Oreochromis niloticus: one gene and its partners. The protein of the gene in region 1 purifies or fractionates together with the protein of each later gene. This does not show direct contact. Links are inferred from orthologs where the notes say so. Each region holds a gene or a part of one and is shown in the gene's direction. Other genes may lie near its edges.

The links.
Region 2: the proteins of fbl (region 1) and tgs1 purify together in Homo sapiens (affinity purification with mass spectrometry; 3 studies listed by BioGRID and IntAct, counting the BioPlex papers as one, with this or other methods). This does not show direct contact. The link is inferred for Oreochromis niloticus from reciprocal best matches to the Homo sapiens genes FBL and TGS1.
Region 3: the proteins of fbl (region 1) and dcaf13 purify together in Homo sapiens (affinity purification with western blotting; 3 studies listed by BioGRID, with this or other methods). This does not show direct contact. The link is inferred for Oreochromis niloticus from reciprocal best matches to the Homo sapiens genes FBL and DCAF13.
Region 4: the proteins of fbl (region 1) and ddx24 purify together in Homo sapiens (affinity purification with mass spectrometry; 3 studies listed by BioGRID and IntAct, with this or other methods). This does not show direct contact. The link is inferred for Oreochromis niloticus from reciprocal best matches to the Homo sapiens genes FBL and DDX24.

The regions. Positions count from the first base shown.
Region 1 is NC_031976.2:1,782,018-1,789,090, forward strand, and holds the start of fbl (rRNA 2'-O-methyltransferase fibrillarin), read left to right. Parts: upstream 1-4,069; 5' UTR 4,070-4,229; coding exon 4,230-4,239; intron 4,240-5,884; coding exon 5,885-6,001; intron 6,002-7,073.
Region 2 is NC_031982.2:1,809,348-1,816,727, reverse strand, and holds the start of tgs1 (trimethylguanosine synthase), read left to right. Parts: upstream 1-4,361; 5' UTR 4,362-4,469; coding exon of another isoform or gene 4,470-4,473; coding exon 4,474-4,586; exon of another isoform or gene 4,587-4,635; intron 4,636-5,775; exon of another isoform or gene 5,776-5,945; intron 5,946-6,461; coding exon 6,462-6,523; intron 6,524-6,801; coding exon 6,802-6,929; intron 6,930-7,036; coding exon 7,037-7,127; intron 7,128-7,380. Other genes in the region: tmem68 (DGAT1/2-independent enzyme synthesizing storage lipids), read right to left, coding at 2,329-2,499, 3,388-3,447. UniProt on the Homo sapiens protein: Catalyzes the 2 serial methylation steps for the conversion of the 7-monomethylguanosine (m(7)G) caps of snRNAs and snoRNAs to a 2,2,7-trimethylguanosine (m(2,2,7)G) cap structure.
Region 3 is NC_031976.2:15,122,657-15,130,479, forward strand, and holds the start of dcaf13 (DDB1- and CUL4-associated factor 13), read left to right. Parts: upstream 1-4,820; 5' UTR 4,821-5,005; coding exon 5,006-5,075; intron 5,076-5,394; coding exon 5,395-5,594; intron 5,595-5,673; coding exon 5,674-5,781; intron 5,782-5,867; coding exon 5,868-5,957; intron 5,958-6,047; coding exon 6,048-6,203; intron 6,204-6,359; coding exon 6,360-6,437; intron 6,438-6,547; coding exon 6,548-6,630; intron 6,631-6,752; coding exon 6,753-6,917; intron 6,918-7,823. Other genes in the region: mitochondrial folate transporter/carrier, read right to left, coding at 13-139, 257-402, 586-699, 2,059-2,213, 2,924-3,009, 3,551-3,701, 3,858-4,056. UniProt on the Homo sapiens protein: Part of the small subunit (SSU) processome, first precursor of the small eukaryotic ribosomal subunit.
Region 4 is NC_031983.2:11,422,785-11,430,077, forward strand, and holds the start of ddx24 (ATP-dependent RNA helicase DDX24), read left to right. Parts: upstream 1-4,276; 5' UTR 4,277-4,416; intron 4,417-4,612; 5' UTR 4,613-4,616; coding exon 4,617-5,484; intron 5,485-5,569; coding exon 5,570-5,992; intron 5,993-6,083; coding exon 6,084-6,237; intron 6,238-6,975; coding exon 6,976-7,293. Other genes in the region: serpina10b (protein Z-dependent protease inhibitor), read left to right, coding at 1,351-1,951, 2,087-2,360, 2,522-2,669, 2,763-2,954. UniProt on the Homo sapiens protein: ATP-dependent RNA helicase that plays a role in various aspects of RNA metabolism including pre-mRNA splicing and is thereby involved in different biological processes such as cell cycle regulation or innate immunity.

The DNA.
Region 1 (7,073 bases):
GATTCATTTTGTTACTGTCTCACTTATTTTGGTCCTGCTCCAGCTATAATCTTTTCTGGACAGATTTTTGTACTTTTGTTGTTTCTTTTATCTATTCTGACTTCTCTCTCTGTTATGGGAAATATTTTTTTGATTAATCTGCAAATAGGGCAATTTGATTAATTAACTCATTTTACTGGCTAAAATTCATAGATATAAAACCAAATTTTCCAATGGAAAACCGTCTTTTCAATGCTGTATAAATGAAACCATACAATATTTTAAAACAATACAACATTTCCATAATGTAAAAGCAATTAAAATAAACCTATGCTCCTTCTGTGATATCGTGTGATTCAAACCCTTAGCCTGTGTCTAACTGTTATTACATGAAACTCCCTGAAAGTGTCTTTGGCTTATTTAACTCTGTGATGTTTGACTTGCTAAAAAGTGCCTGGGCCTCGACTGATGGCCATGAGACTGTAACCTTCTTCTTCTTTTCAGTTTAATGGCGGTTGGTAAACCAGCTTAGATGCGCATTACCGCCGCCTGCTGGACTGGAGTGTGGATCTGGAAAAAATCACAGATTTCAACAGTTGGCCATAAACTTGAGACAGTGCCCTTCCGAGCAGGTTTTCTAATGTCAAATTTATCTTCAGCTCCTCAGAGATTGCTATTAATGCCTTCGTGTCCTAAACACAGACCAGCATCCTAACAGTACATGTTGAACACAGCCCAGTTATTTGCAGTGCTCACACAGTTCCATTGGGTGCTTGACTATTAGCTGTAGTGTTTTATTACTACTGGTTGAAAGTTTGGACACACCTTCTCATTTAATGGTTTCTCATTATTTTCATGACTATTTACATTGTAGATTCTCACTCAAGGCATCAACACTATGGATGAACATGTATGGTTCAGTAAAAGGACTAGATGTTACTGTCCCTGATATCGCATTGCTTTAAATGGAGAGAATCTTGAGGGATGGCTGTTATGAGGAAAGACAGCCCAGAAACTTTACCAGCAGCACACATCGTAGTGTGCTGTATCAAACAAAAAAGTGTGAAATAACTCCAAACATGTTTTATAATTTAGATTCTTCCAAATATCCGCCCTTTGCTTTGATTACTGCTTTGCACACTCTTGTCATTCTCTCCATGAGCTTCATGAGGTCGTCACCTGAAATGGTTTCCAACAGTCTTGAAGGCGTTCCCAGAGATGCTGAGCACTTGGCTTGTTTGCCTTCACTCTGCGCTCCATCTCATCCCAAACCATCTCCTTTGGGTTTAGGTCAGGTGACTGTGGAGGCCGGGCTGTAGTCGTTGCAAGTGTCTTCAAGATGCAGGTTTATTGAAATGGCCATAGTGAGTCCTTGAATATAGTAGGCTACTGTGAACTCTTAAGTGTTAGGTCATGTTTTTTGCACTGATCGCACTTCTATGTACACCCAAACACTAATGATAGCTAATTTCACCTCGTGTTTGTTTCATGATAGGTTTTCTTTTTCATTTAAATCAATGCTGCCAGCATCTCTGGACGGTCTCTGCCTCAGCAGCAACACAGATTTACATAAAATTGATCATTGATAAATTGTGTTAATTCATCCGTTTTTGTGTGTGTAAAAACTGTAAACTTATATCCAATGAGTTTGTTCATTTTAACATTTTAAACTTGCATTAATGTGACACTGGAACTCATTGTTGTTGGAAATGGGCCTAATATTTGACTTGTTCAGTTTTATTTATAGATTTTTTATAGTTTAATCAAGGTGCCATCAATCAGAGATCCCCTCTGAACAGCTCTTTGTAAGAGTAACAAGGAGGAGAAACCAGGGTCATGAAAGGGCAGCCACTGTGAAAATACAAATATTGTACAGTTAAATTTGTACAGACTATATCACTGTGGGTCAACCGTATTTTTCATTGTTCACTCTTATATACAGTCTTGGATATACTATGTACTATATTTTATTTATTTATTTAGTTTATTTTTATTTTTGTATTGTTATTTATTGTATATATATTCTTCTTTTTTTTCTTAACGGTGTGCTCTTTTCACTTACACTGAGTGGCAGGGGCGATTTTAGCCCATTTTTGGGGGGTGCTTCAACCCTCAATTTATTCGTAATAATTTATTCTGTTTTGGGAGTATTTTTATGTATCTGTATTATATTATACATACACATTAAAACTGAATCTCTGTCCAAAAAATGCACTCAGTTTACTTTTTACTCACTATGATCATCATTCATTATCCTCCCCCAGTAATTAAGGTTAGGATGTGTATTTTTTTATATTCCAATCCATTCTTCTTTTGTGGCATTTAAATAAACTTTATCAGATTTATGATTTTGTTACAGACTTTTCAAAAAAGTGTTTTGCTTTTCTTTCACAAATGTGGGGATTAAATTGTGTTAAAATGTACAAAACAGTGATGTCATGTTTTGTGACGAGGACCCAGGCACAGAGAGACTTGATGAATTTAAGAATCTTCTGATTTAAGAAAGAAATTTGCAGACTTGCACAGAGATGGTAAAATTCTGATGACTGATAACGGAGATGAAGACAACAGACGACGAGGACAGGGAGGAACAGGGGTTTAAATGCACCAAGGAGACAGTCAGAGAGAACTCGGGACAACTGGAGACATTTAAGGATGCAGGGACTGACAGTCTCTGTCGTGACGTGTAAAGTTTATCTTGCCTGGATGGGCAGCTCTCTGGGTGCTCAGCACCCCCAAAGCTCTGATCCTAGAATCGCCCCTGCTGAGCGGGTTTGCATACAGTTTCCGTTGTTCTTAAAGCACACTGACAATAAAGATTCTAATTCAGCCGTCTGCGTTCAGATGAGGGTGAAGAAAAGAGGAACTAAGATGTATGTTAATGACATGCAGTAGTGGCATATAAACACATGGGGAGTGAAAAGGGGTGTGGGGGATTCCCATGATGCTCTGAGCCTATATCAGAATGACAAATGACTCAGTAATTATTCACTGTGATTTCCAACATTTCTGCTCAATAGAAATGAATCTGAATCTGATTTCCTTTCAAAAACAGTTATACCCTGCTCCTCTGAGCAGCAGTGATGTGCTTGTACGGTCTGTGTGTTCTGATCATTTAGCTAACATCAGTACAAAGACTTTCTTGTTATTTTGAAGTGGTCTTTTAATAGTTGTCTCATCCAGGGAGCTTGGAGAAAAACAACTGGACTTCTTTAAGTTTCTTGAAGATGTTTCACCTCTCATCAAGCTTCTTCACTTCTAAAACCAAAGGGTGCAGAATCCTGGGTATGTAATCCCATGTGGGAGCTGGCCCTCAAGAGGACCAACAATATTGATCACATGTACCAAGGTGTGAAAAAGGGTGTGGGGTCATTATTAGCAGAGGTTTTGGGTGAAACTATTGTGAGACCTTATGCGACCCATTGAGATCACCTGACGCATGATATGAGTGGGGGTAAGGGTCTGTTAAGCGTCTGGGAAGGGATCTCAAACTGCCTTGTAGATGGCAGACAGATGGTGTCAAAGATGGCTGCTCACAGTGGACATAGGTGGTTCTCAAGTCAAGTCAAGTGGCTTTATTATCATTCCAACCATGTGCAGTGGTACAGTACACAGTGAAACGGAGCAACGTTCCTCTGAGACCACGCTGCTACATATAACAGACAATCAACACAGGATTACATAAAGTGCAACAAAACCAAAACAAAGAGAGTGCAACACCAGACAGAACAGAATAATGCAGACACAAGACAGTGCAATAGAAAAGTGCAACAACGACAGCGGGTTGTGCACAAGAGTGAGCATTGTGCAAAAAGTAACTTGGTGTGTGTGTATGAGATTGTGCAGATAAGTGCTGCTTTGACTCTCTTTCAAACCATGTGAAATGTGAACACTAGCATCCTCGAAAGAGTGACCGTTATCGTTTAGATGCAGATATCAATCAGAAATCAAAGACGGATTCCGGCTTCAACATTGTGACAGGAAGGTTGTTTTGGCACAACATCCGGCAGCTGAGAGCAGCTGTCGTCTGTTTGAAAACAAGATTTCCGTCTGTGTCCAGTTGGTGGCGGTAATGCGCCATTTTGCTTGCTAAGCAGCAGTAGATTAGATAGAAGAAGAAAGTTTGTGCTCGGTCGCACAGCTGCACGTGGGACGTGATCACACCGTGTCTGTTCACTGAGGATCAACACAGAAGAGAAGCGATTCGACTCCGCGGGCTGCGTTCATTTCAGTAGTTTACGCCAGAAACGATGAAGCCAGGTACAGTAAGATTACATGTGCTTATACTCGGTAATGCGGGCGGATGTCTGATCGTGTATTTAATGAGCCTGTACAGTTAGATACACTGCGTGGACGGCCTACACGGCCACGTTGTCCGTGAAAACTACAGCAGACTTGGGCGAACAGTGGCTGCCTGAGCGCGTGTTTTGTTCACGGTGAGACGTTCATGTGTCCGCGCAGTCTGAGTTGAACACGCGCTGTGCTCCACGCACGTGTCTGGGACTCAGTGGGGCCCACACAGCGACCTCCGTTACAACCAGAGTTACGGTTTTACTCAAAGTCGGGTCGTGCCGTCTGTAACCCGCTCGAACTGTTTACAGCTCCACGAGACGTAGCTCGCGCTAACGTTAGCCCGGCCGGAACTTTGTGTGTTTGCGGTTCGGTGAAAGTGTCCAAACATCACGGGGACGGCCACGCTGAGCACGCCGACACAGAAGTCAGTGAGTCGAGTCTTAGCCCGTGTTCCTCCCTGTTACTTCTTATGAAGGATGTTTCTGAGTGTGGGGCGTGTTGGAAGAACCACGTTATGTGCGTGTTATGCTGCGTCCCTCAGCTAGTCGGAAGTCGGTGTTTAAATCTGGAGCGCCACCTCAAGTCGCGTTTCGCACTCGAAAATCCCGAGCAGCCCCAGCGACCCGGGTTAACGATCCAAGATGGCGGCACTGACGTAGGCAGCCATGTACTGTAAAAGGTTGCTTTGGCTCATCTGGGATTTGGGAAAAACGTCAGGTCCCACCTTCATGTTGGCACCAGCTGTCTGACCTGCAGGGGCCGTCTGTTTCACTAGTGCCTGCTTGGCTCTGCTTTTAGGGTTTCCAGTAGGTGTTTGTACCTGATACCAGGGAACCTGCTCGTAAGGGGTTGTAAGTGAGCTGAGTGGGGTCAAAAATGTGACACCAGTGGAATGGTTGGCCCATCGGTGGCATCACTTAGTGAGTCTTGAGAGTAACTCATTCACAAAAATCTAAATTACCTTTTTTTTAAAAAAAACCAAACACAGCTAGACAAAGAACAACACTGTGGTCTCAGAGCCCGACAAGAAGCCATACACCGAGCAACAGGGATACCATCATCTTGATTTCCTCCTCTCTTTGGTGTTTGTGGCATACAAATGAGATCACGGGTCTTTTAGCCACATCGCTATAACGCCCACACCCACATGGAGGTGTTACTCGGCCGTAATGGAAAACGACCAAAACAGAATCTTTTGAAGATGAGTAGCTATGAGTGTAAAAGCGGCACCATCGTCCTTGACTCTCAGTGGTCTGGTTGCCACGTTACTGTGGATAACTTCAAGTTTGAACGTGTTGTTCCAACATTGCTAGTTTTGAAGAGGTGGATATGGTGTGTGTTTGAAGTTTCTGTTGGTATTTCACAACCTCCAGATCCACATGTGGGGCAGCTGTGGCTCAGGCTCATCTATCAAGGTTGATGGACTGACTCACACCGACTCCAGTCTGCATCTTTGTGCAACATATTGAACCCAGAGTTCCTCCAATGCACTCAATGTGATGTGTGTGTGAATGTCAATGGATAAAAGTGCTTAAGAGAAGATGATTGGGTGAATAAGTGTTATAGATGTGTCCGTCTATTTACACATATAATAAATGATTCATGGTTTCAGGTTTCAGTCCTCGCATGGACAGAGGAGGAAGAGGTGGAGGACGCGGTGGAGGCAGAGGAGGGTTTGGTGATCGCGGAGGACGAGGAGGATTCCGGGGAGGATTCCGGGGAGGAAGAGGTGAGACTGGAAACGTGTCGTTTGTATCATCACATCGTGGATGTCATCCTCAAATGCCAGGATGATGACTTGAAGCAGTTACAGAACAAAATATTTTTATTCAGGTATCTGCTAATAATATAATATTATAGGCTGTTAAGTTCAAATGGTAACAGTTTTGGTGTTTTGAACACACTTTCGGAGTTAAAGCAGCTTCCAAAACATTGGGTGCTCCACTTGATCACAAACAGCAGCTGAAGTGTTGCTTTGTATTTCTGCTTCTCCAATTACCCGAGCAATCTTTAAACACCACCGCTTTCACCAGACCACCGCATTTTAACCAAGCATTGAGCGCTCCACTTGTTTCTTAACCCTTTAAGACCTACCATAGAACCAAGTCCGCCAGAGTTTCTTTACATTTTACATGCTGTAGTGCCATTTTTAGGAGCATTTCAAGTTGCTATACATCAATACAACTGTTATATCCCAAATTTTAATAATATGTATGCATTAAGTGCATAATAATTACATAAATTGCAAAAAAGTGCAATAAACTACAAAAAAAGAAAATCATTTTTGTTTTTTTAACATATATTTCTACTTAGAGAAATTTAAGAGGCTTATCCCTCAAAACTGTAAATACAAAAAAGTTGCACAAAATAGTTTCCAGCAACAGGAAATTTATTTTGAGTGTCTTCAGTTTTATTTTTGAGATACACCAATTTTTATATACTGCAGGAAAAACGAAAATAAGTATTATAATCCAAATTTGCAAAGAAAACCGCATGTGCATCAAAATAAACTATTTCCAGCAGTGCAATTTGAGTTCTAAGCATCCCAGAAACTATTCAGAAAAGCATAGAGTCAAAGATGACTTTTAAAAACACCAGTATAGGCTTATAAGGCCCCGAAGGTTAAAAAAAACCCTACATTTTCCACGAATATGACGTCACTTCCGGTTTCGGGCAAGTAATGGTGGACATGCGATAGTTCGCGCTGACGTCTATTCCAACGTAGGAAGTGTTTTGAACAGCTGATCGTATTTGCAAAGCCTGTTTCTGGAATATTGTTTTTCATGCTGCAAGTGCTTTTT
Region 2 (7,380 bases), on another chromosome or scaffold:
TTCCCCCTCCCCAGTCGGACTGGGAGTGACATGTTTGGCCACATGGTCTCCTGTTCTGGATGTCTCAGTGGCGATCAAAAATGATGTGCGTTTTACAGATAATTGGGGGAAAAAACAGTAAGTAGAGTTGCAGTTTAACACGTCTCTCTGCAACAAAAAAATCGAAGAGACAGTAATAGCACAAATATAACAGCCTGGGGCACCGGTTTAGCTCAGCGGGCGAGCAGGCGAGCATATGCCGTATGGCCCGAGAGCAGCAGCGGCCCTTTGCTGCATGTCTTCCCCCCTCTCTCTCCGTCTCCCCTCTTCCTGTCCATCTACACCAGGGGTCAGCAAAGAGAAGACGGAGAAAATTAAATTTTATTTATGTAATGAACACATTGTCACCCCTTAAAAAATAATAACTAAAAATAAAGTCAACCAGTTGAAGGTGTCTTTTAAATGAATTAAAAAGCTGAACTTAAATTATCCATGTAGCAAAAGAAAAACAGTGAGCCGTCATCCTTATATCGCCTTCTGGGCTTCCCGGAGCGGAGCCTTGACCAGAATTTAAAAAATAATTGGAAAAAAGCACTATGCTCCTAAAAAATTAAAAATAAATATTTTCAACATATCTGCATAATATTTATTTTACCGGGTTAATGTGCTTCGCGGGGCGTGGCCCGCAGTGACGCTGCAGGAGAGGCAGACGTACCTGAGTGGCATCCGCAATCACGCCTCACCTGCTTGCTCTCTCTGCTCTTGTTTGTATGTGTCGGGCTGTGCGCTGGAAAGCTACAGCCGGCTGTGTGTGTGAAAAGTGGTCAATAAAGAGATGCTGAAGAGCATGTTCATGTAAACATCGTCGGTGCCGTGATGTGTTTACAATCGGACTTCTGCTCCTGAACCTCTGCGCACAGCGTCTGCTGTACGAAGTCACTTTCATCTTTACGCAGGACTGTAAGCTGTCGTCTGTGAGGCGTGTGCGGTGTTTGTTTTTAACATAGTTCATGGTGGAGAACAGATGCTCACATACATATGTGGATCCGAAGATCGACACGCCACAAATTAGACATACTGGTAGGCCACTCTCGTCAGAAGTAAATACAAATGACTCTGCCCAGGCATCGTTAAATGTTGTATTTTCTTCAGATATTTTTCTTTTCTTACAGTTCTCCATACTAGGCCTACCTGGGGCTGAAAGTCTCGGTAAACGCACGTCGTTTCGGCGGGTATACCGGCTTCAAAGAGTGTGACGCTTATTTTGAACAACGAAAATAATAAAATATAACTTTATTTTTATTATTCAAGATCGCAATAATCTTCCAATTTAGAACTACAAGTTTTAAAAAAGAACTAACACAAATAAAAAACACTTCAGTTAAATACTTATAATTTATTTTTCCGAGCCGCAATATAAGGACTAAAGAGCCGCAGGTTGCCGACCCCTGATCTACACTGTCTCTATCCTATAAAGGCTAAAAAAAAAAAGGTGTGATGTCAACAAGCATAGTCAAAAATGTCTGATGTAAGTAGGTTAAAGTAAACGACTCATTGCCAACTTCCTGACATTACATGGAGTATAGAGAGACCATTATTTATCTAAAGTAGTGTTGAAGACTTTCCCGATTGAATTAGAGAAAATCCAAAATAACTTCTAATTTGTGCACCCAATTTTTACTTTTTAAAGTAATGAAAGATGTATGCTGTACAATCTTTCCAAACCTGGAAAAAGAACAGTTCAAAGAAATCATTACTTTGAAGAAAAGTGTTGTGTGTTATATGTGCAGTAATGACTTTTTTGGAGTAATGATCCCAACACTGATCACAACAAACTGGGGAAACACCTCCAGTGTGCACAGACATTTGACCATGCATGAATTTAATGTCTGTGACATACTGCTTAGAGATGGTCTCAATGAGAATTGATTATGCAACTGGATTTACTAAATTTTTATCAATTCCCATCCCTACTTAGGCCTCATATATAAAACTATAAAATACCACTCAATACTTTGAATCAACTGGTTTATTTTTTTATGAAATAACAAGTGAGCAGGCCTCACCTGTCCATGAAACTGCTTGCCAGTCAACTGTCCCTCTAAAAATAGGGAACTATGTAAAAAAAAAAAAAAAATAGCTGTGAACTCCTTTACTTAAATCTGAAAGTCTGCACTTCAGTCAGACAGTCCTATAAATACTGTGCAGATGTCGAGAGGCAAAGCTACTAAAATTGTGTTTTTGTCCCAAACATTATAGAGGGAACTGTAGATGATAACTAAACAGTGAAGGTCTTTGATTTGTGTTACTCTATTTATGTGACTGAGACTGTAGGGACTGTTTACGTACCTTGTAGACATGAAGGAAGAGTATAGAGAGGTAAAGGAAGATAACGATGAGGAAAGGCACAATGAAGACGATGGCTAGGGGTGTGAAGACCCACAACAGGTATTCCAAGACACTCAGATAGTCCTCTTGATCAAGACCTGCCCATTCCTCCCATGCATGAAACAAACACACCTGTTGACCAGGACCAGAATGTCAATACTAACATCCATCACTTTGGTCCAGATGAAAACATCTCAATAATTACTGGATAGGTAACTTTAAAATACGCAACACATTCTTGTTTGTATTAGCATTACTTTTAAAAACTGGTTAACAGTGTTATGTAACATTACAGTTGGACATAAAATACCACTGAGGGAGAATCTAGAGTTTCTAGGCGATTGACACCATAGAAGCTCTTTTCACAACTTAACATGTGACATAGTGATAGTATAACACTCTTTGTAATACCAGGTGAGATCGTAATAACAACTACATTTCGGGACAAATTATCTACATTTAAATTTAGAATGGCGTGGGGCCCACGATCTGAACGCCTCCTCTGTGGAGGAGAGGGCCTCAAAGAGGGCTGGAGAGACATCCCATTATTCAAACTGTGGGACTTATTATCCACTTGTTGCCAACATATTGTGGAAAATCCATCCATGCATCTTTTTCTGCTTCTCCTTGTGGGGGGCTGGAGCCTATCCCAGCTGTCTAAGGGCAAGAGGCAGGCTACACCCTGGACAGGTCGCCAGTCTGTCGCAGGGCTAACACTATGGGCAATGACTCACCAATTCACCAAGCACTTTGGACTGTGGGAGGAAGTAGGAGTACTGGGAGAGAACATGCAAACAGAAAGATCCGGCCTGATTGTGGAATTGAACTCAGGACCTTCTTGCTGTGAGGCAACAGTGCTAACCCTCTATTATGGAAAATTTGTTGTATTGTGTGCGTCTTAAAATAAAATAATGCATGAACACCAAAGCTGATGTTAAATAAATAACACATTTGTTTCTAGGTAAGCTCGATTTCATTATCAAGTCCTAGGTGCCTGTAATGCATGGACAGGATGCATACCAAGAGAGAGAGAGTGTCCTCCGCGCCCGTCAGACATGACTGGTTGCCAGTGCCTGACATAGTGCTCTGCTCTCAGCCACGAGAACTCCAGCTCAACCGAGTGACGCTCAGATCAGGTCTCAGGTAGACTGCATAGAGAACACCGGCTGCTACATAAGAAGGAGGTATAGGAGGACACCGCTAACTCAGTTCTGTGACTACATTTACAAATACACAGTCGCAGTGGATTACGCAGATCAGAAAAGATGTAAATAGCACGTATTATACCAACTACAATTTCTAATAAACACCAGCAGCTTTTTAACATCAAATCAAATGACAGCAACTTTACATAGCATTAGTATCTAGAACACCACCACCTTTTTACTGGGAATAGGAAGAGGCTACATTTGATCAGCAAAATGACAACAGCGAACTCGGGCTACGGTATAATAACTGACTGAGAGCTAAGTCTCATTGAAGGAGCCGGAAAATCTGACATTTCTCAATAAGCCAACTCCACGGTTACAAACATAAAAACGGTACCTACCGACTGCTTACTCGGTAAAGCGTGCCATTAGAATGTAGCACGATATTCAGTATTACACTAGCAAAACCTATACTTCTTAGAGCTATCAACTATCCTGTTCATCAACCCGGAACGTCGTTGGGGGAACACAGAGTCACAGATTTCTATCCTAAAACTGTGCTGTACCGATGAAAGAGTTCTTACTGGCTTACAATAAAGAGTTTCCGGGTCGACTCGTTCGCTTCAAAATAAAAACAAAACTGAATTGCACCAGCTTTCAAACAGTAACTATATACAGTCATAGAGAATTAGAAAATATCCCTCAAAAGTAAAAGTGGAAAATGTCAAAAGGTGCCATTAAATTAAAAAAGTGTAATAAATTCAGTAAAAATAGTTACATTAATGTGCCGAAGAAAAACTACTTTGCAACTTTTATTTTGAAAAATAGCGGAAAATCCGCTGTTAGCTTCTAGTGCGGAAATAATCAATAATAAAGGAAAGAGTCCCATGCTGCTTAAAGACGCGAGCAGCTCGTCGGTAAATGAAAGTGTGTTTCTTGTTGTAGCGAGCTAACCGCCATGATGCTGGAAATGAGAAGAGTAGCCCTGGTGGCGGAAATCATCTTCAGCAAGAAGGAGTCACTGCAGGAGGAAGAAACGATTCATTGTCGTTGCTCCAGAGCCTTCGTACAGTGAGCCTCCACCACCTTTCCTCTGTCCGCTAGAGCTATTCTCATACACGTAATTCATTTACCGCATGTCGAACAACAGTCTGATCTAAACCGGTGTTTGACATCTCAGCCAGGCTGCCATGGCAACCAGCCAGTGTGGATTATTAAAAGACAGCAAGAAATGAAAACCAGTCAAATCTTTGAAATTTCGTGTATTAAATGTCGTTTTAATGAATAGCCGATTTACTGTTGTATAACTGACTTGATTGAAGACTACCACAAAGCAGTGTTTTTAAAAGTTATATCAATCACAGTTGAATAAATCGCAGTTATTACAAGGCTGCTACTGTTACTAGTACAATGGTGTGCTAAACTCCACAAGAAAATGTTAGCAACTGTGTGCTAAGTCTGAATTGGAAAGATGAGCAGTGTGTGGTATGAGCTGCCACACCAGGAGAGGTGTTGTCTTGCACACAGAGCGGTGGAAACTTATCATACACTATATTGCCAAACGTATTCACTCGTCCGCCTTCACACACATATGCACTTGAGTGACATCCCATGATATTGTCCCACCCTTTGCAGCTATAACAGCTTCAACTCCTCTGGGAAGGCTTTCTAGGAGTATGTTCATGGAATTTTTTACTTTTCTTCTAGAAATGTACTTGTGAGGTCAGACAAGGATGTTGGATGAGAAGACCTGGCTCACAGTCTCTGCTCAAATTAATTAATTTTGTAAAAATTCCCTTTAGGCTGTGAGAGGTGTTTGTGTTAAAGCTTTAAATATTGGTGGTTATCAAATACTGGAGCTTATGAAAGGCAGGAGATTTTTACTTTTCCACAGAGTGCTTGTTCTAAGTCTAGTAATAGCAGCATGCTTTACATCACTGCACTCACTATGTGTTAATAGACCTCTCTGCATCGAATCATATCTGTTATTAATCTCTGTCTCTCTTCCACAGCATGTCTTTATCCTGTTTTCCTTCTTCACCCCAACCGGTCGCAGCAGATGGCCGCCCCTCCCTGAGCCTGGTTCTGCCGGAGGTTTCTTCCTGTTAAAAGGGAGTTTTTCCTTCCCACTGTCGCCAAAGTGCTTGCTCATAGGGGGTCATATGATTGTTGGGGTTTTCTCCGTATTTATTATTGTGCGATCTATTGTACAATATAAAGCGACTTTTGTTGTGATTTGGTGCTATATAAATAAAATTGAATTGAATTGAATTGAATTGAATTGAATTAGATGCTTTGCGTGGCGCTTGGTCATGCAAGGTTTGGATTCAGCTGCTCAGCTATGGAAACCCGTTCAATGCAGCTGCCTAACTGTTCTTCAGCTAATCTGAAGCCCATGTGAAGTTTGGAGTTCTGTAGCAATTGCAAAAGGTTGGTGACCTGTGCACTACGTGCTAGCACTTTGTGGCTGAGATGGTGTCATTCCCACTCACTTCCACTTTGTTGTAACACCACTAACAGTTGACTGTGAAATATTTAGTTGCGAGGAAATTTCAAGATTGCACAGGTGGCATCGTATCACAGTACCACGCTGGAATTCGCCGAGCTTCTAAGAGCAACCCAGTCTTTCACAAATGTTTGTAGAATCAGTCTGCATGCCCAGGTGCTGATTTATACACCCGGATGTGATTGGACCACCTGAATTTAACGATTTAATGAATACTTCTGGCAATATCGTGTGTCATGTCAAATGCTTTGAGTGTTGAATAGGAGTAGAAAAACTCTGTATGAATGCAAGTATATTACTTTATATTTTCACAGTCATTTAGATGTTGTTGTTCTCAGTACCCAAAAACCTTGAGTTTTAGTGGATACGCTGATATGTACAGATGCATCTATGGATGTCCTACAGTACATCTGTCCTTTATGTCCATCGCCTCTTTACAGGGATCGAGAGTTGTATCGTTCTGATAACAGACTTCTGCCTGACCTGGAAAACACTGTACAAGGTATATCCTATCCTATCATGATATTTAATAGTACTGGGGATTAAAATAATCATCTATGAAATGTATCAGGAATTGGGGTTGGTGGTACGTGTTTTTTAGCAGGTTCTGAGGAACATGATTCTGATTCTCTAACATCTCATAAGACGGACTTGAATTTGGTAAAGAGTTGGTGTTCTCACTGAATACTCTGTGTTGTAGAAGAATGTGGCTCTCTTAACCTCGCTGTACTGTCTAGTTTTAGTTGCCATGATTTTAAAAATACATTTCTCAACTCATAGACGTAGATGATGGTGAAGAGGAGGAGGAAGAGGAGACTGAGGTGGAGGAGCTGGATGAAGAAACTCAGATGATGGCCAGTATGGGCCTACCTTTAGCCTTTGTGTGCTCGTCTGAGCAGAGGAGAGCAGTAAGTCACACTTCATCTTGGCTTTGTTGTGCTGTGTTATTAAAGTCACTGTTTTTTTAATGGAAACTAAAGAGCAGTTTTGGTTATTATTTTTCGTCATGTCACAGGGGTGGAGGTCTAACAGGAGTTCCTCAAAATACTGTGAAGAAACAAGTGAAGAAGAGGAAAGTAAAGAAGATCCACAGGCTGATGAAAAAGGTAATGCAATTATCTTATTGCTTTTATTGTTTTTATTACGAGTAATGTTACAAATTGTAAGGTTTTTATGAGTTTTTATGTGGTAGAGTAACCACTTTCTCCACGGTCTAACTGAACTCCTTCCATACCTGAGTTTTTGTGTCAGCTACTGCCAGAGCTGCACTCTGCTTGTAGGTGGTGGAGCTGACAGGTACCATCTGGTACTGGGATTACTGCGACAACATGCACCAGTGAGCTTTCAGTGGCAGCATAT
Region 3 (7,823 bases), about 13 Mb from region 1:
GCTTTTAAAACCTCATTTATTTTGCCCGAGAAAAAAGTGAGACACGTTCTCGTAAACCACGAAGGTGATGCAACAGGCTGGGGTGACGCGGATCAAGTTGGGGATGATGCCTTTGTAGAAACCAAGGGTGCCTTCATTCCTGAGGAGACAAGTGGGAAAATGGTAAGCATCAATCATAACAGTCACTCGAACTGTGCTCAGAGCCTGAGACGGGGGCGGCACGCTCGGTCCCACTGTGAGCGGATTGGTGTCTTACCTCCATGTCCGTCTGACGACATCAATAACTCCGTTGTATCTATTGTGCTGGTCTTGCAGGCGAGCTCGCACCACTTGATATGGGTATGTTGTGGCCACGGCAAATATTTTGGATAATGCTGCCATTGTGATGTATTCCAATGGGTTCTGTTCCCACAGACAGATAAATGGAGGGAGGAAGAAGGGAGCAGAGCAGTGTAGGAAAACTGATGAGTCACTTGTTATCAACTGTGGACTCTGTCTCATTAGACTCAAAAGTTACAAGCCTTATGGCTGAGTTTTATTAAACAATGTTTCCAGCCTGTCTGTGGCTCACGGTCTGTGACTCACCAGCTTTGCGTTTGAATGTGCTTTTCTGTATTTGTTGTAGTCTCTCTTGAGCTCTTCGTAGGCCATGAACTGCAGTGCTCCGTGAGACGTGCCGAGCAGACCGGGAACATAACCCTTTTAAAGACATACTCTGTAAGTCGATCTGACTTGAGACTCAAATTCCCACAGTGCAACTTATCCACTGAAAAGCCCACAAATCTGTGGCTCCCCATCTCTTTGCTCTCTGTGTGTTTATACACCCCTCTGCATTTAATCATTAGTTAGTATTAATCTCTGGCTCTCTTCCACAGTGTGTCTTTTGTCTTGTCTCCCTCCCCTTAGTGAACCTGGTTCTGCTGGAGGTTTCTGTTAAGGGGAGTTTTTCCTTCCCACTGTCGCCAACTGGTTGCTATAGGGGATCGTCTGATTGTTGTGGTTATTACTGTGGGGTTTATACCTTACAATATTAAGAGCCTTGAAGTGACTGTTGTTGTGATTTGGCGTTATATGAACTTAATTAAATTAAGGGCCCTTGGCCCTATTTTCTCTGGAACTTTAGATATCCTGTTTCCGACAGCAAATTACAATTCAATATTGTTAATGAAGAGGCTGACATACTGCTTAAAACCTCTACTACTGCATAAATGGGTTGTGTTTTTTTCAGCTAGAAAGGCAGCTGATGCCCTCTAGTGGTGATTAAAGTCAACAGCGCCTACGAGGTCTTCAGTATTCCTATCAAAATAAGCAAAGGTGAGATCTGAGGGGATATTCAGAGCACATTAATTTGTCTCCCCACTTAGAAACACGAAAAAAAGCAAAATAATTCAAAAAGAAAACACGCCAGAACATCACTGAGCAAACCAACAAAAGCTGCACCAGGGCTGAGGCTTCTTTCTTTAACAATGAGTGTACTTACTCCCAAAATATGGATATGAAATATGAGTCCTAATCACCACTGAATGTTTGGTGGTAAACCTAATGATCCCCAAAGCACACAAACACACCATGTTGTTATCTAAGCGAGCAACAGCACAGTCTCTCCTCTGACACCAGCAGGTAGTCTGAAAACCACAGTGGACTATTTTTTTGTCAGGTCTTTAAGGAATTGTTGCTAGTTTGCCATCTCAGTAACAAAGCTGAGATGCCATGCATGAAATCACAGTATGCATGTTTAAGCAGAACCAAACAAGTGACAGAAAAGCTGTCACAAACGAGGGTTATCAACTTGTTACATTGAATCTCACCATCTGGGACCAGGGAGACAAAAAGGAGCACGGAAGAGGAAATCATGTCTACAAGTGTTACTCAACAGGGATAATATGTTAAAGAAGAAGAGTTGAGAATAATTATTTGTAAATAATAAAGACTACTAGAACATTCTGGCATTAACAGGTGTAGAAAAATCTCCCAGTTTAAGCCACCCCTCCCAAATGTTTAAACTTGCTAACCAAGAAATCTTACATCATAAGGAACACCAACACACTCATGTCTCACCTTGTAGAGTCCAGACACTCCTTCATGGCGGTAGATCTTAACCAAAGCATCAAACATCCCCTTGTACTGCTTGCTATTTCGGTCAGCACTGTACTGCAGCACCAACCGGGTCTTGGTCACCCAGATTGGGTTGGTAAGGGTGAGTGTGAGGATGCCTAGGCAAGGACAAGCAAGGAAATGTCACTAGGAAGCACACGTGACTTCTACTACTTTATTAGACCCGTGATTATTAGCACACAGGCCCCTCAGTGAAGAGTCATTTACTATAACTGAATATCTATGACATGAAGAACAGGACCAAGGAGTTCACAAACTTTGAAGTGGTACAGGAAAAAAAAAGACTTATGTGAAGTTGTGCTAGAGATCTCACACAAATGCCCAGCTGTTTGTGCACAGCACAGTTTGGAATTAGCTGATCATGTCACCAAAGTGAACAAGAAGCGCAACAGAGTGCACTGGTGCACTTTAATGCCACCCAAGCATCATTCTAACCTTCTCATTCTCATTAGAATGATGTGAGTGCCTGATGGGGAAAATAAATAAATAAATCACAAGATCAAATCAATAAAACATATCTGTTTTGGTTTCATTTTTTTATGCTGTTGATGGTAGCTATAAAACTTCCCCTGTCACTGGATTCTTCAATTTATTTCCCATGAAAACCTTGCAAAGGCTGTAAATGCCTTTTTTTCCCCATTCACACGAGCACTTGAGGCTGCCCTGAACCAGAAGTAACTAACTCCTTGTCAGTTACTACCAGTTTGTAGCAGTCGTATCTAGCTGGTGTTATTGACCATGTGCTGGTTATATGGTGGGGGAGTGGTGTTCTGTAGTGCGGCAGTGTTCAAACACGGGTAGTACTAACCAGCTTCAGCCGCTGACACCAGGTATTCTGTGGCACTCAGTTCAGCCTGACGACCTTCCTTTGTGTACCCTTTGATTGCATTGTAGCTGTGAGGGAACAGGGCAAGGGCAATAAGACATCTTGCAGTTGTAAAGTCATACATGCTGCTTTTTTCATTCATAGAGTGCTGTACAATCCCAAACATTATGGCTAACAGCTAGATTTTCCAGTTTCAGTGCAGCTAGCAAAACAACAAGCAGCCACTTACTGCTAAAGAGACAGACAGTGAAAGTGGACAGTATATCCTCGGTTTCTTAACATAAAACTCATTGTTACAGCCAGGGGCGGCATAAAAGTGATTGCCTTATACTCATTTTTAGTTTCAGTGTCCTTGTTTTCTTCTGACTTATCGATTCTGTCACTAGTAAGCTAACATAAACTAATGTAAGCCTATTAGCCGCAACCAACCAACGACATGAAGTCAGAAGATGGAGCTAATCCTGTTTTTAAAACTTTAACTTTAAGCACTTATCCAGCTTCACAGACAGTGTTACACCTATGTCAGTTTTTGCGAGCAGGGCTCCATGATGTAAATTAGCTTTTATGTGTAGTGTTTCATGTCCTCTTTAAGGCTTATAGCTTACGTACAAGAAGAAGTAGAGGCCCCAAGATGCACCAGCACCCCAAACGTTGGGTGTCACGCCTTGATAGAGTCCTCTCAGTCCCTCCTGCTGCCAGACACTCTTCATGCAGTGCAGCATGCCACTATACTTCGGTCTTAATTCAAGTCCATCACTTACTGCATTTAAAAGACATTACAGACCTTGAAGTCATATGATACGAATTAAACACATCATGGCAGTAGTTTCTCAGCAGCATCAAGTAAAGTCATAGCAGCATGGCACATCAGACAGTAAGGAAATTACTTTTAAAATTTCATATTTTCATTTTGTACCTGCAAACCTGATTTTGACCAGGTCCAGGGGATGAAGCACGAGCGTTGACACCACTCCCCCGCTGAGTCCCGCGATCAGGTTTTCTACCCTCACATGGCTAAAGACCTTCTGTAGTCGTCCGCCGAACGAGACAGCAGACACGGGTTTGCCGGGCAGTCCTGTCTCTGAAACGGGACCGTGATTTGGAGCGGAGCTCATGGGCAACTTGGGTAGCTAGCTAGATCCTACCGGCTAGTACTGTTTACAACACCGCAAGCACGCACCGTGTCAAAATGTAACTCTCTCTATAAAACTGAGGCGAGTTTACAAACAGTACGAGGACGGAAAAGCTTCCTCATATCTCTGTGCTAATGACGCACCACGTTTCTAACATGCGGAGGTACCTCACAGGTGTAACGCACTCTCCAAGTGTCAAGTCGCAGAGCCAGTGCTCGACCTTGCTGTTATTATTAAGGAATGACAAGTTCCCGTTGTTGAAATAGTACTTCCGGTTAAAAAATTCAGAATAATTCACACGTTAAATAAGATAGTATTTATGCTTTATTTATTTATGTATTCATTTTGCTAATACAAAAGTTAGGATTTTTTACGTGAACATATTTTGTATGATGGCTCGGGGGACATGTTTGATAAAACTTAACTATATTAAAAATATACGTTTTCCACATAAATTACATAAAATCAGTGTGGCTATTCAAATAATGATTTAAATAGTGCTTTTACAGGCTTTCATATATCTTTTATTTCTTCATAATTTTGTAATTTTGAACTTAATTATTATGTCTATCTTATTCTGTGTCTTCGGTAAAGGTCCCTTGAAGTCGCCGTGAACCTTTCTCCGAAGGTTGGCCTTGGGTTTCCTTGACTTAACTGAAAACAAATAAACGAAAAAAGTATTTCCGGTCCTTCTCTTTCTAAATGTTGTAACTTTAAAACTCGTTTCTTTACTTGTGACTGACGCAACCATTGACTACAGTCAATGGATGCAACGAGGAGGACAGGACATCCCACAATGCAACGCGAGATCGCTGACTCTCATCGCTAGCAACCAATGCTATCAACACATGGCTGGTGTGTTCACTACTTGCTAATATTTTTGTTGCTGTAATTTTCCTTTTTCTGTAAGAGTGTGCCCCTTCGCTACCAAATGAAAGTTAAAGTCATCGCAAGGAACCCGGATGATTATGTCCGGGAGACCAAACTGGATATCCAGCGCGGTAAGTGAAACACTTCGGCTAAATAGCTAACAGCATACATACGAAAGAGCTACAGGGTTAGCATCTGATTAAAGCTACTGAAACAACAGTCATGCTGTTAATCTCATTTTGCATATCTGTCTTTGCATTTAGCTTATTTGGAATTGCAAATTTTGCTTCACATATTTCTAAACCCCTATAATCTTATTATGGAACCTAAAAACAGTCTGTGATACATGAATTGGCTAGCATCAACATACCTGCATACTTAGATTTTTTTAATTAATGGAAATGCTCTTTTCTGTCAGCACGTAAAGAAGTGACTGCTGTGTGTTTTTAGTCCCCAGAAACTATGACCCCTCTCTTCATCCGTTTGAGGTGAGCAGGGAGTACACTCGGGCTCTGAACGCCACCAAGCTGGAGCGTGTGTTTGCCAAGCCTTTCGTGGCCTCGCTGGATGGTCACAGAGATGGGGTGAACTGTATGGCCAAGCACGCGAAGAGCCTCTCCACCCTGCTGTCAGGCTCCTGTGATGGGGAGGTATGTGGAGATGCATTTCCTTTTAATCTCAGCCTTTCTTGCAAACTGACAGGACTCTCCTTTTGGATTTGATCTTCAGGTGAAGGTGTGGAATCTGTCCAAACACGAGTGCGTTCGGACGTTTCAGGCACATGAAGGTTTTGTGCGGGGAATGGTTGTGCGTTACTGTGGGACCTCTTTCTTTACGGTAACTGATCATCGTTTTGAAGACCTTTCTGAATTGTTTGACTTCATATTAGCTGACATCTAACGTGCCTTCTTTTTCTGCAACAGGTCGGTGATGACAAAACAATCAAACAATGGAAGATGGAATCACCAGGCTACGGAGAAGAAGAGGAGCCAATTAACACCATCCTGGGAAAAGTATGCTGTAATAATTTTGCTGTTTCATCGCATAGAATTGCATATTCATGTATCGGTGAAGTATGAATGAAAAAAAAATGTCCCTTGTAGACTGTGTACACAGGTCTGGACCATCATCAGAACGATCCTGTATTTGCAACGTGCGGCCAGCAGGTGGACATCTGGGATGAGCAGAGGAGCAGCCCGATCCGCTCTTTCACCTGGGGTGTAGACAGCTTCAGCTCTGTGCACTTTAACCCTGTGGAGGTAAGACACCACGTGCTTTATCTCACACACATGGGCCCCGCCCTCCAGTCATGTGACGAAAAAGATTGCTTGGACGTATAAGCTCACAAGTGTTTATGGCGACTTAAAGCCAACACATGTGCTGATAAATAAAGACAAGGGTTATCCTCTCCACAGACTGAACTTCTTGCAAGCTGTGCCTCTGACAGAAGTATAGTGCTCTATGACATGAGGGAATCTACACCACTTAAAAAGGTAAATCTCCCCTTACAGTTTGTGCAGGAATGTACCCGTTTATCTCCCTGTTAATTTACATGGATGTGGCATGATAATCAGCTACTTTTTGCTCTCACTTTCTTCTTAAGGTCATCATGACAATGAGGAGCAACACATTAAGCTGGAACCCCATGGAAGCCTATTACTTCACATGTGCAAATGAGGACTACAAGTGAGTCTGGGAAAGAAACTCTGATTTAATCATATGATCACATTTTAGCTGGTCCTCCTTTTTTTTTTTTTTTTTTGTCAGCTCATAGAAACTGTTTTTTGTTTTTTTTTCCTTTTCACCAGCCTCTACACATATGACATGAGGTACCTGGCCAAGCCCATCATGGTACACATGGACCATGTGTCTGCTGTGCTAGATGTTGACTATGCTCCCACGGGGAAGGAGTTTGTGTCTGCCAGCTTTGACAAGACCATCCGAATCTTTGCCAAGGACGGTGGACACAGCAGGTCAGTAATGCTGATCAAACTTTATGGTGCCAGCAAAGTGTTAAGAAAAATTGTACTGTTGTTGACTATGCTGTATAATTTGTGGTGTAATTAAATTATAGCATAAATCCTTTGGTTTGGTTCATAGCTTTGTTTTTTGACCCCCTTTGAGTGGGAATAACTAAAAAAAAAAAAGATGTAATTCTACTGATGTTATTTCCATTCATTCTTTACTTTCATGACTTTTGAACACTGCAGCTCTCACCAGACTGCCATGCCTGATTATAGACCAACTAAAAAATGGATGTAGCAACCATGATGTCACCTTCTGGTTTGTGAAGCTCTGTATTGATGTCTCAGGATGAATGTTTTCACCTTCGCTCTCTTCGGTGTTTTGGGGCATTTTGTCAATCAAAATGTGTCAGCCAATGAGCACATCCTGGATAATCATGATTTTTGAAAGTTGGTGACCAAAATTTATAAAAGTCACTTAATGTTTTATGCAGTATTATCCAAAATGAGTGACTGAGCGCGTAAACTCAGGTGTTTTCCAAGGTAAAGTCGGAGCGATGATTTTGCATGGACTTCTATGAACCTCAACACTGAGGTTTGGGAAGTAAAAATCCCATTCATATTCTCAATAGGGCTTTTGATTATGAGCCACAACATTGTAATCATCCAAAGCAGACGTAAAATGAGCTATAGTATTGAAATGACAGTATGTGCTCCTGTTGCAACCACAAGTCTGTATGATTAAATCTGAATGTCAGGTCAGGAACAAAGCACTGCACTAGATCTATAACTAGGCTTTGCATTACTTTATATACACAACACAAACTGCAAAATATATTCAAAAATATTATTATTCATCAATGTTTTTAACCATATAAACACTACAAAAAGGAAAAGGATTAAATTTGATAAGAA
Region 4 (7,293 bases), on another chromosome or scaffold:
TGGGTTATTTATTCTTTACATCATCAACCTCAATACATGACAGTCTACAGGTGGTCTCCCCAGGCATTTAGAGAGCTGCATATTTTGGATGTCGTGGCTTTATTACTTATAAGTATGCATGTAGGCATAATGAAACGTATGATTAGGCAAGGCTTACAGACACAATTTAAGGGTGTCTTGTCCTTTTTGATCAGATTGATGAAAAAAAATTGTGTAGGACTTTTTGCTGAATTTAAATTGCTTATCACTGATGCATTGTTTTTTCTTATTTTTGTCCAGAATAAGTGGGGAACAAAGAAGCATCATGTAAACATGAGTAGTTCCAGCAGTGTATGATCACACAAGCCAAAATTCTGGCATTTCCAGACTTGTTTTGGTTTCTTTTCTTTTTTTTTTTTTTGGTCTTTGGGGGGTTGGGGGGTTGGGGGGGGGGCACACGTTAGAAAATCAAAGATTCATTGGTTTCATTTATTTGCTGATTATGACCTTGAAAATGGAAAAAAAAAAACAAATGTGTCACATCACCTACCCTTTGACGAAGTGGTTGATTTGACTTATTCTCACTTATTTTTCTCTACAGGACCGTAATGTCCTGAAAGTGAGAATCTGTCCTCGTGACTACACCAAACTACAGCATTAAAACACTTTACATTCATTCAGAACATTGAACTGACCATTCAGCGCAAATGTGTCTTGATGCCTTCACTAACATGTTGGATGTCATGCAAAGTTTGGCTTATTGTGCTGGATGATTTTTAAGAAGATTCCAAGATTTTGTTGCTGTTCTGTTTCCTTTGGATCTGCTATTTTTTTTTTCTATTTAAAATGCACTTGTGAAAAATTAGAAAATGTTGGTAGTTGGGGGGTTTTTTATTATTATTTTATTCACTGTGTTCTTAAATTCATTATTTTTGTTATACTTCATGTTAGAACAGCACATTCTTTTGTTTAATATATTGGTTCTCGTTCCAGGATTAAAGTGAAATTCACTCCCAATGCTTCTCGTGTCTCATTTACTTATCGATTGATTCTTATGGATTCACCTCTGAATACGTTTTTTGTGGTTAATGTGTAACATGTAGAGCACACTTGCACTTTGTTCCCCCCAAAAAATACAGAGAAATTTCAGGCACAATCTGGGCCAAGCTGAAAGGTACGTGGTGTTATTTTGTTAAACTTAAATACAAAATTTCAGAGCGTTTTCTAAGTATAATGCAGAAATAAGTATTCAGTTGGTGTAATCTTATATTTTTTGTAGATTTAGTGATTGTGCTGCTGTACAGTGGTGCTTTTTGTTTTTAATTTCTCGTTTCTGGGTGTGCACGCAAAACTTTCTAGGTTCTAATTTTGATGTTAAACAAAATGAAGATGGCCTGTTTTTTCTTTGTGGCCCTCCTGTGCTTTCTGACTCCTATCCACCAAGCTGGACCTAACAGTGCCACCATCTCAGATCTCTCCTTCAAAAATATGGACTTTGCCATGAACCTTTACAGAAAGATATCCAGTTACCATGACAAGAACATCTTTTTTTCCCCCCTGAGTATCTCTACCAGTTTTGCGGCTCTTCTAATGGCTTCTGATGGTGTCACACACAAGGAGATCCTGAAGGTACTAAACCTGGAGGCGCTGGAGAGGGCTGACCAGCCGGATCTTATCCCTAAACTGTTTCAACTCCTTCACGAGAACGTCACGCAAAATGGATCGCTGAAATTTGATCATAGCATGGCCTTGTTTATCCAACCCCAATTTATCATAGAGAGGGAGTTTGAAACCAAAATCAATAAGTTTTTTAATGCAGATATCAAAACTGTTGACTTTGCGGACACAACAGAGAGTATCAGAGTAATTAATGAGTACATTAGGGACAAGACTGAAGGCAAGATTACAGAGATGATTTCAGCCTTGGACGAACAGACCAAACTCCTGTTAATGAATGCAATTTTCTTTCAAGGTAAATTAAATCTTTTTTGCACACTTTAGATATTGGGTTTATGGGTTTATGTGCTATTAATTATACTAATATTCATGTCTGCACCTATGAACTGTTTTGTTTATAACTAAACGTACAATATTACCTCCTCCACAGGAGCCTGGAAGATGCCTTTCAACTCCAATTTCACTCGAAATGGACCCTTCTACATCGATAATTATAATATTGTGCAGGTGCCTATGATGTTTAAAGAAGACAAGTACTACACTGCAGAAGATGTTTCTCTGAGAGCCAAAGTGCTGAAACTGCCATACCAAGAGGGTGTTTCCATGCTTATCCTGCTCCCCAACCCAGACATGGACTACACTATGGTGGATGATGAGATTACTGCAGAGAGGTTTCAGAGCTGGATCGCAAAACTGAGAAAAATGTATGTGAGGAAAAATGCCTCGCTTTAACCAAGAGTCTGCATATTTTGTTGTTTAGCTGTAAAAAGCAACGGTTAACAAAAGTGTAAATGACCATAAAACAATGCCTGCAGCAGCAGATGAGCCAGTCTATTCAACATGTCAACTCATGTCTTGTTTGCAGGAAACTGGAAGTCAAGATGCCCAAATTCAACATGGAGCAGTCGTATTCCCTCCATAATCTTCTACCGCATATGGGCATGACCAGTGTCTTTAGTAATTTGTCCAATTTGACAAAGCTCAGTGAGGACAAAGGGCTCAAGCTGTCAGAGGTTAGTTGTCACTTTCACTGTCATGTAGCAACATATGTGCCTGTTCGCCAAATAGTGCAGCAAAACACTTTTAACCTTGCTGTGAAATTGTAGGTGCTTCACAAGGCCATGATTGACGTGGATGAGACAGGAACAACTGCAGCAGCTGCCACAACAATGGGTATCATTCCATACTCCCTGCCGAGGACCTTCACTATAAACAGACCCTTCTTCTTCTTCATATACCATGAAAACACAAACTGCCTGCTGTTCATGGGGAGGGTGATTGACCCCACCAACAAATAGTTTTGCCACTGTAATGTGTTCATTCTTAAGTGGCTTCTACATGACTAATTTGGTGGATGTTTTAATCCCAGACAGTTTAAAGCTTTTTTTTTCTGTTCTGTTCCTACAACATACTTCACCAATAATAATAAAAACTTCACCTGCATCACAAACTTGGATCTTTTAAATGTACGTACATCTCCAAATTATGACAACCAGCATAAATGTAATCACTTAATCGACAAATTAAACAAAACATCAGTACCACGTTCTAATAATGCACATCTTATCAGGTTATTAAACTGATGCTACCGGCTGACTATAATAATTGTAAAGAAACAGTTTTCTTTTGCCTTAAAGATTTTGCTTACAGTAATTTTAAAAAGAGGAACTCTAGTCAAATTTATTTAATTTACCTGATCACACACACACACACACACACCACCTACTCTACAAGTCTCAGTTTGCATGTTAAACAATGTTCATGACAGTACAATCAAACAGCATGGCTAAAGTTTTCAAAGTTGCATCTAAGAAAACCAGACAGATGAGACCAAAGTGCACAATGCACAACGCCATGTTTTGTGAAAACCAAACACAACATATCATACCAAAGGACTTTTGGCATTTTGTGGTCATTGAGTCATAGGTGAACTCTTTGTATACAAGTGAGTCAAATGATCAAATTTCATTGTGTAATGAAACAGAACATCGCAGGTTTGGGCAAAGCTACAACAGACTGGCTGAAGAAGGAAAGAATCAAGATGTTGACTCAGTGATCCAGTCAAAGTCCAGACCTCAACCCGACTGAAATGCTGTGGCAGGACGTTAAGAGAGCTGTGCATAAATGAATGCCTGCAACCTTCAAGAACTGAAGCAAGAGTGGGCTAAAATTCTTAAACAATGATGTGGGAGACTCCCAGAGAGTCACACAACAAGCGATTACTTCAGTTATACGCCGTTAAAGGTGGTTCCGCAAGCTCCTGAAACATAAGGGTGTAGTTGTTTTATTTTATTTTATTTTATTTTACAGGACGGCAGAGAGCCCAATGAAAACTTTGTTTTCCACAAATGCGTTTATTTATTTATGTACTAGATTATATGCTAGTTTGTCAGGTACAACCTTCATTAAAAAATAATTTTAATTATATTTGCTACTAATAATAAATACTACTGTAGTGAAGCAACTCCCTCGGCACAAACTTCAATACACCTTAAGAAATTACAGCGTATTATCCTTAAAATGAAAGCTGATAAACTAAAACCCTTGACATCCTCGGGTATTATTTAAACGTTTATTAAATTTTTATAAACGTTTATGTAGGCGGTATAAGGGGTTAAAATGACCAGAGAAATTGAAACAGCGCCTGTTGTTTAAATAAAGTTTTTCAAACCACGTGATCAACACTGTCATGGCTGCGCCCTCGTGTCTCGCGTTGATGTAATCGTAGCAGAAGTCTAAGAGAGCCTACACTCAGTCCAGGTAAGACTTTAGTACTCATTAATTCAACTAGTAGTTTACTGTAGACTTTGTACGCTTAGTTTCTGTTAATTATCGGTTAATAGTTGTCCGCTGGCGTTAAGAAACGTGGGGTGCACGTGTGCTTTTAACAACTAAACGTTAGGAACTTCACGAGGTCGGCTAAAGTCACTTATTTTACACCTTTACTTTTTTTCAGAAAAATGAAGACAAAGAAGATGAAGGCGAAAAACAAAGGCATGTCCACCGGGCTGGGGAAGCCAGCGAAACGTTGCATCGACATGAAAGGCAAATGGAAAACCATAGACCTCGATCCCAGCGTCTTCTCCGAGGAGGGCTTGGAGGGTCTGGTGTGTTTCGAAGAGCTCACGGATTACCGTTTAATAAACAGTGAGCAGGCTGCGGCCAAAGCAGCAAAAGAGCTGAAAAGGGAGAAGAAGAAGAAAGCACAGAAAAGAAAAGCTGGTGACGGCGAGGAGGCTGGAGAGAAAGGAGACTCGGGGATCAAAGAGGGGGAGAGCACAAGTGAGCCAGCGAAGAAAAAAGCCAAGAAGAAGAGGAAAAACAAGAAAGGCATTGCAAAGGAGTCGGAAAATATTTCTGCAGAAGACGTAAAGCAGAAGGATAATGCTGCCACTGAGCAGGGAGGAGAGGATGAGGTATCAGGTGAGGGCGATGAAAATGATTCTGCAGCCATCACTGCTGATCCCAAAGATACAAAGAGGAGCAGGAAGAAGAAGAAAAAGGGGAAAGGGCAGCAGACAGTGAAGGATACAGTCCCAGAAGAACAGCCAAACCCAGAGTCTTCATCAGATCTGGAAAAAGAAAAATCCGGTCAAAATAAAGTGACAAAGGCCCCACACAAGAAGGCAAAGAATTGGACAAACGCTGCACTTTCTGGTTCTGAAGACAAAAATGTTGACATGAGTGCATGGAAGGACCTGTTTGTCCCCCCACCTGTCCTGAGGGCACTGAGCAGTCTTGGATTTGGTTCACCGACACCGATCCAAGCCCTGTGTTTGCCTCCAGCTATCAGGGATCGTATGGATATACTGGGAGCAGCTGAAACTGGTAAGATAAAAGTGATAGGTTTATAGTGTAATGTTCTGTTCACAGATTTTTAAAAGTGAAGCTAATACGGATGTTGTACTTACAGGAAGTGGCAAGACACTGGCTTTCGGCATTCCCATAATCCATACCATCCTGGAGTGGAAGCATAGCCCAGAAAAACCTAATGATGACGCTGAACCAGTCACAAAGGTGGAGAGTTTGTACTTACCATCTGTAGATGAGTACACAAAATCAGCTGAAGAGGACCAAGAGGAGGGAGTGGAGGCTTCTAAAGAAAACGATGAAGATGCTGAGGATCAGAATCAAGGAGACTCGGATGAAGATGAACACAGCGATGTAGAAGATGAACAGCTTGGATGTGTTCGGGTAATCAAGAATGCAGACTTTGATTTTGATGAAAAACCCGCTGGTGCTCAGAGTCGACCCCTCTTAGGACTGGTCCTCACTCCCACCAGGGAGCTGGCTGTTCAGGTCAAACATCATATTGATGCTGTCGCAAAATTCACAGGTAAGTCATAGCTCATCAGAGTATTACGATAGCAGTTTTCTTCTAAGAGATCTATAAATGTCAGCATAGCTAATGTTTTCCTGCTGTGCAGATATAAAAACAGCCTTAGTGGTGGGTGGAATGGCACAGCAGAAACAAAGACGAGTGCTGAAACGCAGGCCAGAGATCATCATAGCAACTCCGGGGCGTTTGTGGGATTTGATCAAGGAGAGGCACCCACATCTGGTCAACCTCAGGCAGCTCAGGTGAGTCTTAATTTAAGACTGACTTATTTGCTAGAGGTGGTAATCGATACAATATTATCACAGCGCTTCACTTATGATATGATATTATCATGATTTTTATTATTTTGTGATATGCTGAGTATTCCAATAAAATATGTCACCTTTTTTAAACTGCAAGTTATTTCCTAAAGTTAAATATATGTTTTATTTTACTTTATTTTACTAACATTTAACTTGCGCTCATCAACCTTCCTGTTTTATAAGAATATACCCAAAATAGAACCAGCTGGCAGCCAGTTGATGAACTGTGCACATTGAGAAAGACTCATTCAGACTCATGGAAACATGTTGGCTATCTGTCTGGTTTCATATATTAGATAACAATTATTTGCAGAGTGATTGCAGTCAGTCCAAATCAGACTACACCTGTTAGTAGGAAGGGTGCCTCCTATCAAGTGAATCGAGCCCTCTTTTCAAAGTTTTCCCAGAGTATTTTAATGTATTTAATAAAATATTAATATTTGGTGTTCCTGTATCAATACAATATCGCCACACAAAATATCACAATACCACAATAAGGTTTTTTTTTTTCCTTCACCCGATTACTGACACTGATTTTAACCCTCAAATCATATCATGTGTGAAAGAGCCTTGAGCAATAGATCAGTGATTCGGTGTTCTGTGATAAAGTCTTTCAGGCAGGCCTATTTGTTAGATTTTTGTTATCCTTTCTTAATTCCTCTTCTTCTTATGACACAGGTGCCTGGTCATTGATGAAGCCGATCGCATGGTAGAAAGAGGGCATTTTGCCGAGCTGGAGAATTTGCTGGAAATGCTAAATACGACACACTTCAATCCCACTAGGCAAACTTTTGTGTTCTCTGCCACTTTGACGATGGTTCACAGCCTTCCCACTCGCCTCCTTCAAAAGAAGAAGAAGAATCTGGACCAGAGGAACAAGCTGGAAATTCTTATGGAGAAAGTGGGGATTAAGTCCAAGCCCAAAGTCGTTGACCTCACCAGGAAGGAGGCAACTGTGGAGACACTGATTGAGACTCAGATCCACTGTCAGAAAGA